Linked DNA regions of Bombyx mori. The protein of the gene in region 2 purifies or fractionates together with the protein of the main gene of each other region. This does not show direct contact. Links are inferred from orthologs where the notes say so. Each region holds a gene or a part of one and is shown on either strand. Other genes may lie near its edges. The genes, in order: Rab11, Golgi phosphoprotein 3 homolog sauron and Rabb.

What was found.
Region 1: the proteins of Golgi phosphoprotein 3 homolog sauron (region 2) and Rab11 purify together in Drosophila melanogaster (affinity purification with western blotting; 3 studies listed by BioGRID, with this or other methods). This does not show direct contact. The link is inferred for Bombyx mori from reciprocal best matches to the Drosophila melanogaster genes sau and Rab11.
Region 3: the proteins of Golgi phosphoprotein 3 homolog sauron (region 2) and Rabb purify together in Drosophila melanogaster (affinity purification with western blotting; 3 studies listed by BioGRID, with this or other methods). This does not show direct contact. The link is inferred for Bombyx mori from reciprocal best matches to the Drosophila melanogaster genes sau and Rab1.

The regions. Positions count from the first base shown.
Region 1 is NC_085112.1:15,253,515-15,257,252, forward strand, and holds part of Rab11 (ras-related GTP-binding protein Rab11), read left to right. Parts: intron 1-166; coding exon 167-399; intron 400-1,823; coding exon 1,824-1,939; intron 1,940-3,738.
Region 2 is NC_085111.1:10,440,827-10,444,904, reverse strand, and holds the start of Golgi phosphoprotein 3 homolog sauron, read right to left. Parts: upstream 2,801-4,078; 5' UTR 2,479-2,800; coding exon 2,293-2,478; intron 2,203-2,292; coding exon 2,055-2,202; intron 1,117-2,054; coding exon 1,018-1,116; intron 324-1,017; coding exon 148-323; intron 1-147. UniProt on the Drosophila melanogaster protein: Phosphatidylinositol-4-phosphate-binding protein that links Golgi membranes to the cytoskeleton and may participate in the tensile force required for vesicle budding from the Golgi.
Region 3 is NC_085131.1:10,116,497-10,120,997, forward strand, and holds the start of Rabb (small GTP-binding protein), read right to left. Parts: upstream 2,823-4,501; 5' UTR 2,723-2,822; coding exon 2,709-2,722; intron 2,260-2,708; coding exon 1,995-2,259; intron 660-1,994; coding exon 528-659; intron 1-527.

The DNA.
Region 1 (3,738 bases), on a different chromosome or scaffold from region 2:
AGTCAATCGTGAACATGTGTTAAGTACGTATTTCATTAGAAAAATTGGTACCCGCCTGCGAGATTCGAACACCGGTGCATCGCTCAACACGAATGCACCGGACGTCTTATCCTTTAGGCCACGACGACTTCAAAATCGAAGGCTATATCTTGTTGTTGTCCACCAGGTCGACGGTAAGACCATAAAAGCTCAGATATGGGACACGGCCGGGCAGGAGCGGTACCGCGCCATCACGTCGGCGTACTACCGCGGCGCGGTGGGCGCGCTGCTCGTGTACGATATCGCCAAGCACCTGTCGTACGAGAACGTGGAGCGGTGGCTGCGCGAGCTGCGCGACCACGCCGACCAGAACATCCTCATCATGCTGGTCGGCAACAAGAGCGATCTCAGACATCTTAGGTACGTCTCTAGTTACGTCCAATCTAGACAACACTAGCGAGCTCCAATCTAGACAACACTAGCGAGCTCCAATCTAGACAACACTATCGAGCTCCAATCTAGACAACACTAGCGACCTAAAGGATTAGACGTCCAGTGCATTCGTATGTAACGATGCGCCGGTGCTCGAATCCCGCTGGCAAGTACCAATTTTTCTAATTAAATACTTTCTTAGCAAATGTTCTCGATTGACTTCCACAGTGAAGGAATATCATCATGTAATAAACATCTAATCTGCAAAATTATAATTTGCATAATTACTGATGGTAGAAACTCTTGTGAGTTCATACAGGGAAAATTAAGTAACCCCGCCAACATCAAGACATGAGATCGAAATAAATCACTCCAAAATTCTAGATAATCCCTAAAGGCATTAGTTTCCGAAATATGACAAGTTTGTTTTCTTATTTAAAAACCAAACTTCATTGGAATTCATACTCATTGAAATACAGAAACAACTTGTCATCTAAACATCCGTGATTTTAGATGAGATTTCCACTTATATCGTTATCTGCAGTCTCTGTACGAAAATATTTACTTAAAAGATTCTAAAACAAATACAGCAGCTAACATGAAGGTCTAATAATATAGTCTAATATAATAATATGGTTTTTTAATGAATCTTTTTAGTAATGTTTAATTATTTTTTTGGCTATATGTCTGGTCAGGGTGTGTTCAAGTATCACGAAAGCAGAGTCAGAGGGCGAATGTTTATTTTCTTTCTTTATACGCCTACAAAGAGAGCGGCGTTTATTATAAATCTTATGTAAAATTAAAAAAATAAAATATACATTCGAGTATTTACTTAATATTTAATATTCGTTTTTTAAACATTAAGAGTAATTCAATAATTGAAAGTTTGCTTACGATACCGTCCAATGTTCCCCCTCAACCGATTTTATTAACTGTGTTATTTATATCACACATATTCCCAGTGGATGGTATAAAATTTCAAGGGTAATAAATATTTGACAATAAAGAGATTAGGTGTGGTCAAACATATTATGTTCCCATTCATTTCTAATATACTTAAGTATTTTCATTCGATTAAATGAAGATAAGCACAAACAATGAAGCCAAATAAAAGGTTTTTTTTTGCTTAGATGGGTGGACGAACTCACGGCCCACCTGATGTTGAGTGGTTACCGGAGCCCATAGACATCTACAACGTAAATACTGCCACCAACCTTGAGATATGAGTTCAAAGGTCTCAGTATAGTCACAACGGCTGCCCCGCCCTTCAAACCGAAACGCGTTACTGCTTCACGGCAGAAACAGGCAGGGCGGTGGTACCCACCCGCGCGGACTCGCAAGAGGTCCTACTAGCAGTATCACTTGATCCCAAGCGGTCCCACACAGCTAAGTGTTACGGTGCGCGTTCGCAGGTCCATCCCGACGGAGGAGGCGAAAGCGTTCGCGGAAGCCAACGGACTTAGTTTTATCGAGACGTCGGCCCTGGACTCTACCAACGTCGAGCCGGCCTTCCAGAACATTCTGACCGGTCAGTACCCACGAGTGACGTAGTGCTTATCGAACGTGCTATATAATTGTGGCGGAGGACAGTCGTGCTCTTGAAAAACCACTTCGCAATTTCGAGACATGCTTAGGTACGATGAAATGTACATTTGTACTAACTAGTGGTCACCCAGTCGAAATTATTTGAAATTATATTGAAATTAATTGAATTATATTTGAAATTATTTGATAATTATTTGAAATTAAAGTTTGAACAGTATTATTGGTTCTATTGTCAAAGACTATACTACTTTAATCACAAGACTACGCTATATACAAATAATATTAATCTATTCAATTTGAATAACAATAACAAAAGTTTGACAATAAATGAAGGGTGGTATATAATATATGTGTGTTGTGTCAAATATATGGTAGTGTGTGCAACGTTTTTTTATATTGATTTAATGTATTTTTTTGCATAAATATGTAAATATTTACACTCTGCACTCCTTCTCTATATTCTCTGCTAACTGACTCGGCAGACTTCGTAGTGCCTGAATCGATAAATAAAAGACCTAAACTTTTGTATAATATCAAGTTAAAACAAACAAAAGGAATCCGTCTGACGGGAGGGAGACACATCAAAGGAAAAGCAAAATTGCTATTTTTATTTAATTCCGAGCATTTTCATATTATTATTTATCTACCTTTTAAACCTTCTCTGGACTTCCACAAATAATTCAAGACCAAAATTAGCCAAATCGGTCCAGCCGTTCTCGAGTTTTAGCGAGACTAACGAACAGCAATTCATTTTTATATATATATATAGATCTTCATAAATTTTGTGATTAATGAAATTAAGTTAGTTCACGGGGGTCCATTTTAATTCTTATACTTTTAATAATTTTAATAGATTACGTACATAGTGTTCTGTTTGAATATAGGGCGTTCGATTGGCTATGATGTGATACAATGAATGACTCATTAAAATATTAGTGAATATTTCGGAACATCGATAGAATGAATATTACATTGTAATGCAAATTAGCGATACCGTTACGAAATCGTTCGCTTTGCTAATGTCAATGAACGCCCACACTATGATGTCATATTATATGTATTCATATATTAGCATTGTTTGAAGGTTAAAGGGACGCACAATTTTAAAATGAACATATTATCGTAACTTAGTGTTCAATATATCGCACCCTTAGAATTATAGAGACCCAATTCGAAATTTTGGATTTCGAGTTTAATTAAATGGACATGTATTTTTCACTGGTGGTAGGACCTCTTGTGAGTCCGCACGGGTAGGTACCACCACCCTGCCTATTTCTGCCGTGAAGCAGTAATGCGTTTCGGTTTGAAGGGTGGGGTAGCCGTTGTAACTATACTGAGACCTTAGAACTTATATCTCAAGGTGGGTGGCGCATTTACATTGTAGATGTCTATGGGCTCCAGTAACCACTCAACACCAGGTGGGCTGTGAGCTCGTCCACCCATATAAGCAATAAGAACATTTAAAAAATATGGAAATGGCAGTGCAAGATAGAGGGGGAAGCGGTCGACCGAAAAAGACATGGATGGAGTGTGTGAATGACGATATGAGAGAGAGAGAGAGAGGAGTGGGTGTTGAGATGACGGCTGATAGAAGAGAATGGAAGAGAAAAATTAACTGTGCAGACCCCGCCTAGTGGGATACAGTGGAGAAAAAGAAGAGACTTTAATTAAAAAATGGACCTAGAACTACCCTTTTCAGCGACTCTTAATAATCAAACGACCAAAAATAGCTAATAAAGAGACAAACTTATCCATCGGTCTCTTTCACTCCGTCCCCCTCCT
Region 2 (4,078 bases):
CCTTAATGGTAACGACATTATTATTGCAAATTATTTATAAACAATCAGCTTTACTGTTGTTAATTGGCAGGTGTGTATTGAAGTAGCTGGTTTTAATAATAAAGGGTTTTAAATAACTAAATATCAAAACATTATTATTTGACTTACCTTTTTAACTAAACGGCACTTAACGACATTATCTGTGAGAGGGTGTGTCGTCATGTCAAATAAAAGAAAATTTTGTTTTTCTGTTGTTAAAACCCCTTTCTCAACCAGATTTTTAGCCAATCTTTCGCGTACGTTCTTTAACTGGTATTTCAGTTTCATTGGATTCCATGTTTCACCTAAAAATATTGTCCATCTACATCTTTAAAACTCATTTCCATATATTTTCATATAAATAGGCCACGGCCAAACAGTGAAGTATAATTTCTTTTATGAGGTGGCTATTGATAATAAAGCAAATAAATGTAATATATAAGAATTTAAACACTTTTCCCCACCTATTCGCTGGTAGCCTAAGGTGCCATTCCAGCTTCTGGCAGAAGAGATGTTAAGGTGCCAGAAATTATGCTTGAATTTTGATCAGTAGGCAAACCCTAGTAAATATCCTTGCCTTGGAAAGCAATTGCGCCAAGCCAATTTGTTGTAAAATAAAATTAAATCTGTTATTCTATTTAAAAAGATTTATTGTTTTATTTTGAATAATTTTTAGGAGTTTTAATCTATTCAACATTTAATTTAACCACTTATTGGTATTATACTAAAATCTACTGCCAAGTTTCTAAACCTGCCTAGAGCTAAAATCTCTTAGAAATATTGACTAACATAAACCATAGTTTTTTCTCAAGATTATAACATACTTATTTCCAATTCTCAAAAACTGTGAAATTGGATCTATTGCCCTCCAAAACACAAAGTTACAATTCCTGATAAAATTGCATAACTTAATTTTCACAACACATAAACTCTAAGCTCTTGGTAAATGTCATATTTGTTGCACAACTGTAACATTTGAAATCATAAATATTTACATACCACTCAGATATTCAATCCAGCTTTGTACTGTTTCTGGAGGGTCAGTATCTTTCATATGTTTCAGAGCTTCATCTAGCAGAACATCACCGGTTAAAGTATCTAAAATGTTTTTATTTTATTTTGTTACAATGTAATTTAAGAAGAGCTTGTTGATAGTGAAATAATTAATTTTGTTTGCTTATTAGAATTTGAAATTGCTTTAGAGTATCTTGCACAACAAGTTTCAAGAACCATTATAAATTATTATGTGTAAATGTATCAAGGTTAATAAATAAATTATTATTATTAATTATTATTATTATTTTTAAATAATTTGCTTCTAAATATAAAAGAAAATTAAATATTGACTATTTCTACGAAAATATTTTATCAATAAAATAATGTTTGCTAATGTATTTTTTAAATGTTATCAAAATTAATTTCAATTCAAGCTGATACTTTAGTTCTTTTATAGTTAATTATTGATAGCTTGTTTTTTTAAATAATTAGTAAGATTGTTTATTTTCGTCTGTCACAAAAAATCCCCTGTTAGTTCATCATTATCTGCTCACCATATACTAAGAATAATAGATGGTTTTGAGGTTGTGTAAGTGTGAAAGATTACAATTTTTTTTTAAACATTGAGGACTACTCAACATCCTTATGGCTCATTTGATGTTATGTGGTTGCTATTTAGTCTAAGTCTTATAGCTTATAAATTTTAATTTCTAGAAAATATATTATGTAAACAAAACTTAGGATGTAGTGATTAATTTTTCAGACAATTTTCAAATTTCAATATTTGTAATTTGGATGAAAGAAAATTAAATTGTCAACTTTTTTACTATATTTATACTAGGTTAAAGAAATGCATTTTCTGGAACAAAAAGGATATTCTATGTGAGAAAATATAGCTTTAATCAATTTAGCATTAATAGTACCTTTAGCTTCAGTGTTGATCAGTTGTTAATGAGTACTTTAGAATATTCAAAATTTTATCGTCACTTTTAAAACAGATATATGGGTTTGTTAATTAAACTTGAGCAGTAGTCACCTACCTGACTTTACAATCACTTTTCTAGACAACAAGCCTTTCCTACGCATTCCAGCTCGCTCCAGTTCAAGTCGTCCTCTTAAGCCCAGTTCAATTAGAATGCATCCTCTTAGACCACTGGATATGCAGTCATTCCAAAATGATGTATAACCCTGAAACGGTAGAAGATGAGCATGTCACGATCTTTAGACTGCTGGAATGCCATTGTATTTATCAGATCAGTTAGTCATGTAAATATTCACCTCTTTATCCTTTAACCCTAACAGTAACACTTCTTCCATTAATGTCAATTTAGTTTCCTTGGAATCTCCGTCATCATAATTTTTATCATTTTTCTTATCATCGTTGTCGTGATTTTCTTTCTGTCCGTCTGTGTTACTCTCCTTTATAACATTTCTTCGTTGCACTAAACCCTCAGTACGGTTCATATTCTCATTAAGTTATATTTTAAAATGCTAAAACTAATTAATTTCACAAGAAAGAACTATATTTATATCGAAAAATTGTAAATGAATGGTCAAGTTGACGTTTACGTTGCGACGTGATGTTGTTGTCGAAAACATGGCCGACTATACGTTCCTTTTCACCAGAACCATTCAGTGTGTAATTTTATGCATCTTTGCAAATATTATTCAAATCATTTCGATTGATTGATTTACTAGCAATGTGTCGAATTAAATGAATTTGAATACCTTTTAGAAATTTTCATGTATTTGTATACTGCACTTGCAAGCTACAATACTAAGAAAGAACTCAACTCGGATAGCCAGAAATTGAGTACAATCTCGAGTATCCAAAGAAGTCGAGTACCAAGCTGAGTACTTGGGCTGCGACTTATTTTACTTTATTGTAATTTACATTGAATTTACTTTCAAATCTTCAATACCTAAAGCTTCCTAAAGGGTTCAGAGTGATGCTACTATACTGTTGTACAAACCCCACAGAGAGGTATTATTTTAACGAGTTTTTATGTGCTTGGTGTGTACATATGTATCTTTGAAAGTGACTTTCACTCAGTTTAAAGCTTTGGATTTAATTTAAATTCGTATAGTTATCGAGAATCGATGGCAATAGAGTAAATTAATAAAATTTTCCCATTATCGTGATCAGGTTCTTCAGTATTAACGACAGTACGGACAATTAAAAGACAGTTGTGCCACTTACTATGCATCGCAGCGCCTGCTGTCTTCTTTGGATATTCTAGCAGATTCCTTTTCCGGAATCTAAAATTAATTTCACGTTAAAACCCCAGTAGTCACAGAAACTATCATCAGATAGAAGAACTTGATTTGACAGGAGGTGTGGGACTGTGATGGTGTTGCATTGGATGAAATGGTTAGATTACGAAATATATTGTAGAAGGATATAATAACCTGTTTTCACATAATAATATATTGCACTAAAAAGGTGATGCTTCGTTACTAAAAATAAATGCTTAATAGTTTAAGAAACATTTTATCTCTCCCCAAGATATCTATTTTGATGAAAGACCGATTATGTGGAAGAAATAATCTCATACTATAGTTTATTGGAGAATATATTTGATGTAGTTTCATGTGAATAGATTAATTTAATCTCGGCTAATTCCTCAGAGAATCTGCAGAGACTTTCGTAACTTACATTAAGCGATGCAGTTTATAAATTCAGAGATCGTAACACAGTCCCCGATATCCAAATTTTTGAAATTCTGACACCATCTTCTGCATGTACGCAAACGTACTTAAGCTATATCTGGTGTTTAGAAGTCGCGACCCAGTTACACCCAGTTTAGCCGAGGTTAAACATGTCGATAAAGTACAAATTTTTGACCAGGCGCAAAGTACAGAAAAAAGATAAGATCACTTTGTGGTTCGTCTGTATATTTTTTACCAATGATCAAAATTCGATCATGATCATTGAAATCCAAAAATTTTTTTTTTTTTCATTTTTTTTTTTGATATAGTCATTTTGAAAACAAAAAAGAGACTATTTTTAAATATTATACATAAAATTGTGAACACTAAATGTCGTTCATGGCATCTCCACAAA
Region 3 (4,501 bases), on a different chromosome or scaffold from region 2:
GAGCTTGCATGACACCCCTATTGATAAATATTTGTGCTTTGTGAAATAACATCAGCTATCAGTTTTAGCAATGATGTTTACACAAGTGGAACACATTGTTGTACTATGAATTGACCGAAATGCTGTTGATTGGGAGATTCTTTAGATCTTTTATTACATATGTTTCTTTATGTTAACAACTAGTCTACAGGTTACCAGATCATAAAATACAAATGTCACTCAATTTCACAATGAAACATGCTTCTCTTAAATTTTATTAAAACACAAACAAAAATTGCACACAAAGTAAATGATCCAGACAAAGAATCAAAGACAACATGTAGAGTACTACTCATTAATTATTGATTAGGTATTGTGCAATAAGCATTACATCAGTAGCAATATACATACATATACATATGTAGTGACAAACAAAGCTCAAATGTGAATGTGTATTCATACAGTAGCTAGCTTCAACCACTTTCAGTCATCTAAAATAATTGGTTACAAAGTTACTTTACAGACGTATTTATTCATTCATAACTTACCTTAGCTGTACTAAAGTCGACAACCTTTTTAGTGGTTAAGTCACACTTGTTACCGACGAGCAGTTTGTTCACATTGTCACAAGCGTAACGATCAATCTCCTCTAACCACTGTTTCACATTGCTGAATGAATCCTGTAATGGAATATATATTTTTTTAGAAAGTTTTTCTTTGATTTAAAAAAAGGGTAATCCTGATATATGACCCATGAAATAAAACTAACTAGTTAGTAAGCTGTCACTTTAGAAAGTTTGGTCACAATATTGAACACTTTAGAGATCTTGGTTACAAATAAACTTACACTTTTGCTTGTAATCTATTGTTTGACTGTTTTATATATATATATTACAATTACATAAATCAATCAATCAATACAAAAAATTATAATGCTTCAATTTAAATAATATTAAACGCAAGGTTATAATAATGTTGTCTTCACATTATATTTTTATGTTAATAATACTTTTTTCCAAATGAATAAAAGATGAGTTTTTTTAGTAAAATTTGATGTGCCAAACTACTAATCATTGACCTTAACTATTATATTTTGATGTACTCTACAGCTTCTGTAAATCTCTTAAATAGTTCACAATGAATTTTCAAATGATGAGCATCTTTTTTAATAGGACACTATTACTAGATTTTCTCACAGAAAAATTCAAAAATTTAATCTTATTTGAATAATAGTCATATTAATCTTAATGTGTGCAAATTTATTTATATATTACCATACATTGATATGGTATCATTGCTCTAATCTAATGAACTTGCAAATTATCTTAATAAATACCATTCATAGAGCATATATATTTTTTTTTAAACTATATATTATTTTCAACCATGAAATGTCTTTTTCTAAATGTGTAATAGTTATAATAGTTGTAGTAAGGAAATAAAAAGTTATAAGAAATACAAAACGTAAAGTCAACTGTGTCTAATAGTTAAAAAATCCAGTTCCATATTTTTAATATTAGTTCAAATTTTACAAGTGAAGCAAATTGTAATTTTTTATCAACACCAAAAATATTGAACAGTATAGATATAGAGAGGTAGGAGGAGAGGTATAGATTAATATGATTCACTGCATTGATTGTTTACACTTCAGTGTTTTGTTTGGAGAACTGGATCAATGCCAATTTTTTTTATTTTCTCATTTATTGTTTGCATAAACAATTTTCTAATTTATTTAGAAATTTTACTATGTACTCCAAATGAAAATACTAGATTTTGTAATTATTAATAATGGTTTAGTTTACATTTGAATTTGTGAATCTTCTTTGTGCAATTTAGATGTGTCAAATGTTGGTTCTTTGTTTTCTTTGTTTAAAACCATAATCTTTCGAGATTTTTTATAAAATACTTATTTTAAACATTTATTTTAGTATAAAAAAGAAAATAAACAATGTTTTTTTTGTTCTTAAGATGTGATATTTTATTCTGAAAATATTAGTGTAGGATCATATAATTACCTGGTCTGTGCAATCATATACAATGATGATTCCATGTGCTCCTCTGTAGTATGATGAGGTGATGGTTCTAAACCGCTCCTGTCCAGCTGTGTCCCATATTTGTAACTTTATTGTCTTGCCATTTAAGTCTACAGTCCTAATTTTAAAGTCCACGCCAATAGTACTGATGTAGCTCTCGGTGTACGTATCATCAGCGAATCTTAGCAACAGACATGATTTCCCAACTCCAGAGTCACCAATCAGGAGTAGTTTGAATAAGTAGTCGCTGTAATCAATAATTGAAATATACTTTAAAACAAATACTGTGCGTGTCAAGGGCAAATCATGCAGTTTGTACTGGAAGAATTATTGATGTCCTTAGGAGGCGTAACTTCTGTATCCTCAAACAAAGGAACGTCGTATATTTTTTGACAGAAGTGTACAAGCTGTAATTGAAATCCAGGAAATGCGATGATAAAATTTTAGATCAAATACGCCATTCACGATACGAATGACTACGTTTTCACTATTACTATAGTACCTACCACGAACACAATGACTCACCCCCTTCATCACAATATAGCTATTACTGTAAATTAAAAAACTATATCTTATGGTGTGAATGTAGTTCGTAATATTGTAAAAAATGAAGCAAATTTTATAATGAGGATACAGAGACGTGATATTTGCCCATCCTTGTTCATGAAATCGCCATGTTACAGATGTAATACTCACTATTCTGGATTCATTTTTTTAATTTTGTACTAGTAATTGTTTTTCACACAATTTAGTTGTCGAATTTATCGAAAGCACTTAAGTTCTTTGTTTCTAGTACTAAATAGCGAAAAAAAATTAATTCTACGTAGGATAATGGCCGCCGAACGAAACACCCACTGACGTAAGTCAGATTTAAACAGGAGTGCCACTTGGCAAGAATTAATTTGCGTTCAAAAACTATTTTTTTTAGGAATCGACTAATCCTTTAGTCGATTTTTTGTTTCTTTTTGCGTAGGGCAGTCAGTGCTCATATTTAGCAAAATGTAGACCACGGAAATGTACATAAGGTAAAGGCCCCAATTTTAACCACTTACTCTAAAATGTAAAGTTCTTATAAAATTGTTAATAAAATGAATGTATGTTGGTTGAAATATTACTGTTTCAATTATTATACTATTCATTTTTATATTTTTCAAGTTTTGTCGAAGTATGTTAATTGATTTTCTTGGTGAGAATGGGTTATTTATTTCACGTCAACAATTCACCATAAGTTTAGGCTTGAAATTTATTAGTCGTCGTGGCCCAAACAATAAGACGTCCGGTGCATTCGTATCTACTGATGCAACGATGTTCGAATCCCGCATGCGGGTATCAGTTTTTTTAATGAAATACATACTTAACAAATGTTCACTATTGACTTCCACGGTGAGGGAATAGCATCGTGTAATAAAAGTCAAGCCCGCAGAAATATAATTTGCATAGTTACTAGTGGTAAGGACCCCTTGTGAGTCCGCAGGGGCAGGTACCACCACCTTGCCTATTTCTGCCGTGAAGCAGTAATGCGTTTCGATTCGAAGGAAAGGGCAGCCGTTGTAACTATACTGAGACCTTAGAACTAATATCTCAAGGTGGGTGGCACATTTACGATGTAGATGTCTATGGGCTCTAGTAACCACTTAACACCAGGTAAACTGTAAGCTCATCCACCCATCTAAGCAATAAAAAACTAAAATAATAATTAATTATTAATTGACTAAAATCCAACATTGTGCTCCAAAGATTGCCTTATTTTTTATCGAAATGTTTTTCCCAGGGTATTTACAATATTTACAAAAAGCATACATTAAACGAATTGAGTTTAATAAATTATCCATTACATATAGAAGCAGTTTATGAGCACTATTGTTTTTTTTCGATTAGGTGGGTGGACGAGCTCACGAGCGCACAGCCTTTAGGCCATGACATGACTAATATATCATGAGTTATAATTTGTAATTAAATAATAAGTTAATCATTATAAACCGTTATATTAGAAACGGGTTTAGTCATCATTCATCGTAGACACCAAATATAAAAAAAATACTATAAGTTTCACATATTTTATTGAATATACCACTTTTCAAACATTTATTCAATATCTTACCAAAAAGCTTGCTTTTGTTTTTTCTCAGAAATTATCATCATAGGTAGGTACCTAAAATTTGGTTTTACATTATGACTGCACAACAAAATGCTTAAATGCTTTCAATGCCACATTTATAACTATAGTGGTTAATGGACAATCGTTAATTATTTCTACATAATACGATTGTAACAGGGAACAGTGTTTCCTAATATTTGGACGCTTTAGGGCCGAGTCACACCGGAATGGCAGCGGCCGGCGGCGATGCCAGCGGCTCCCGGCGTCGCCGCTGGCAGCCTCTCGACTGCACGCGCCTAGTCTCCTCTTGACTAGTTTAGTTTCTTCATTCGGCAATAATACTCGTGTGTTTGTAGTGAACGTGATGGAATTGGTTATTATATATGACGGC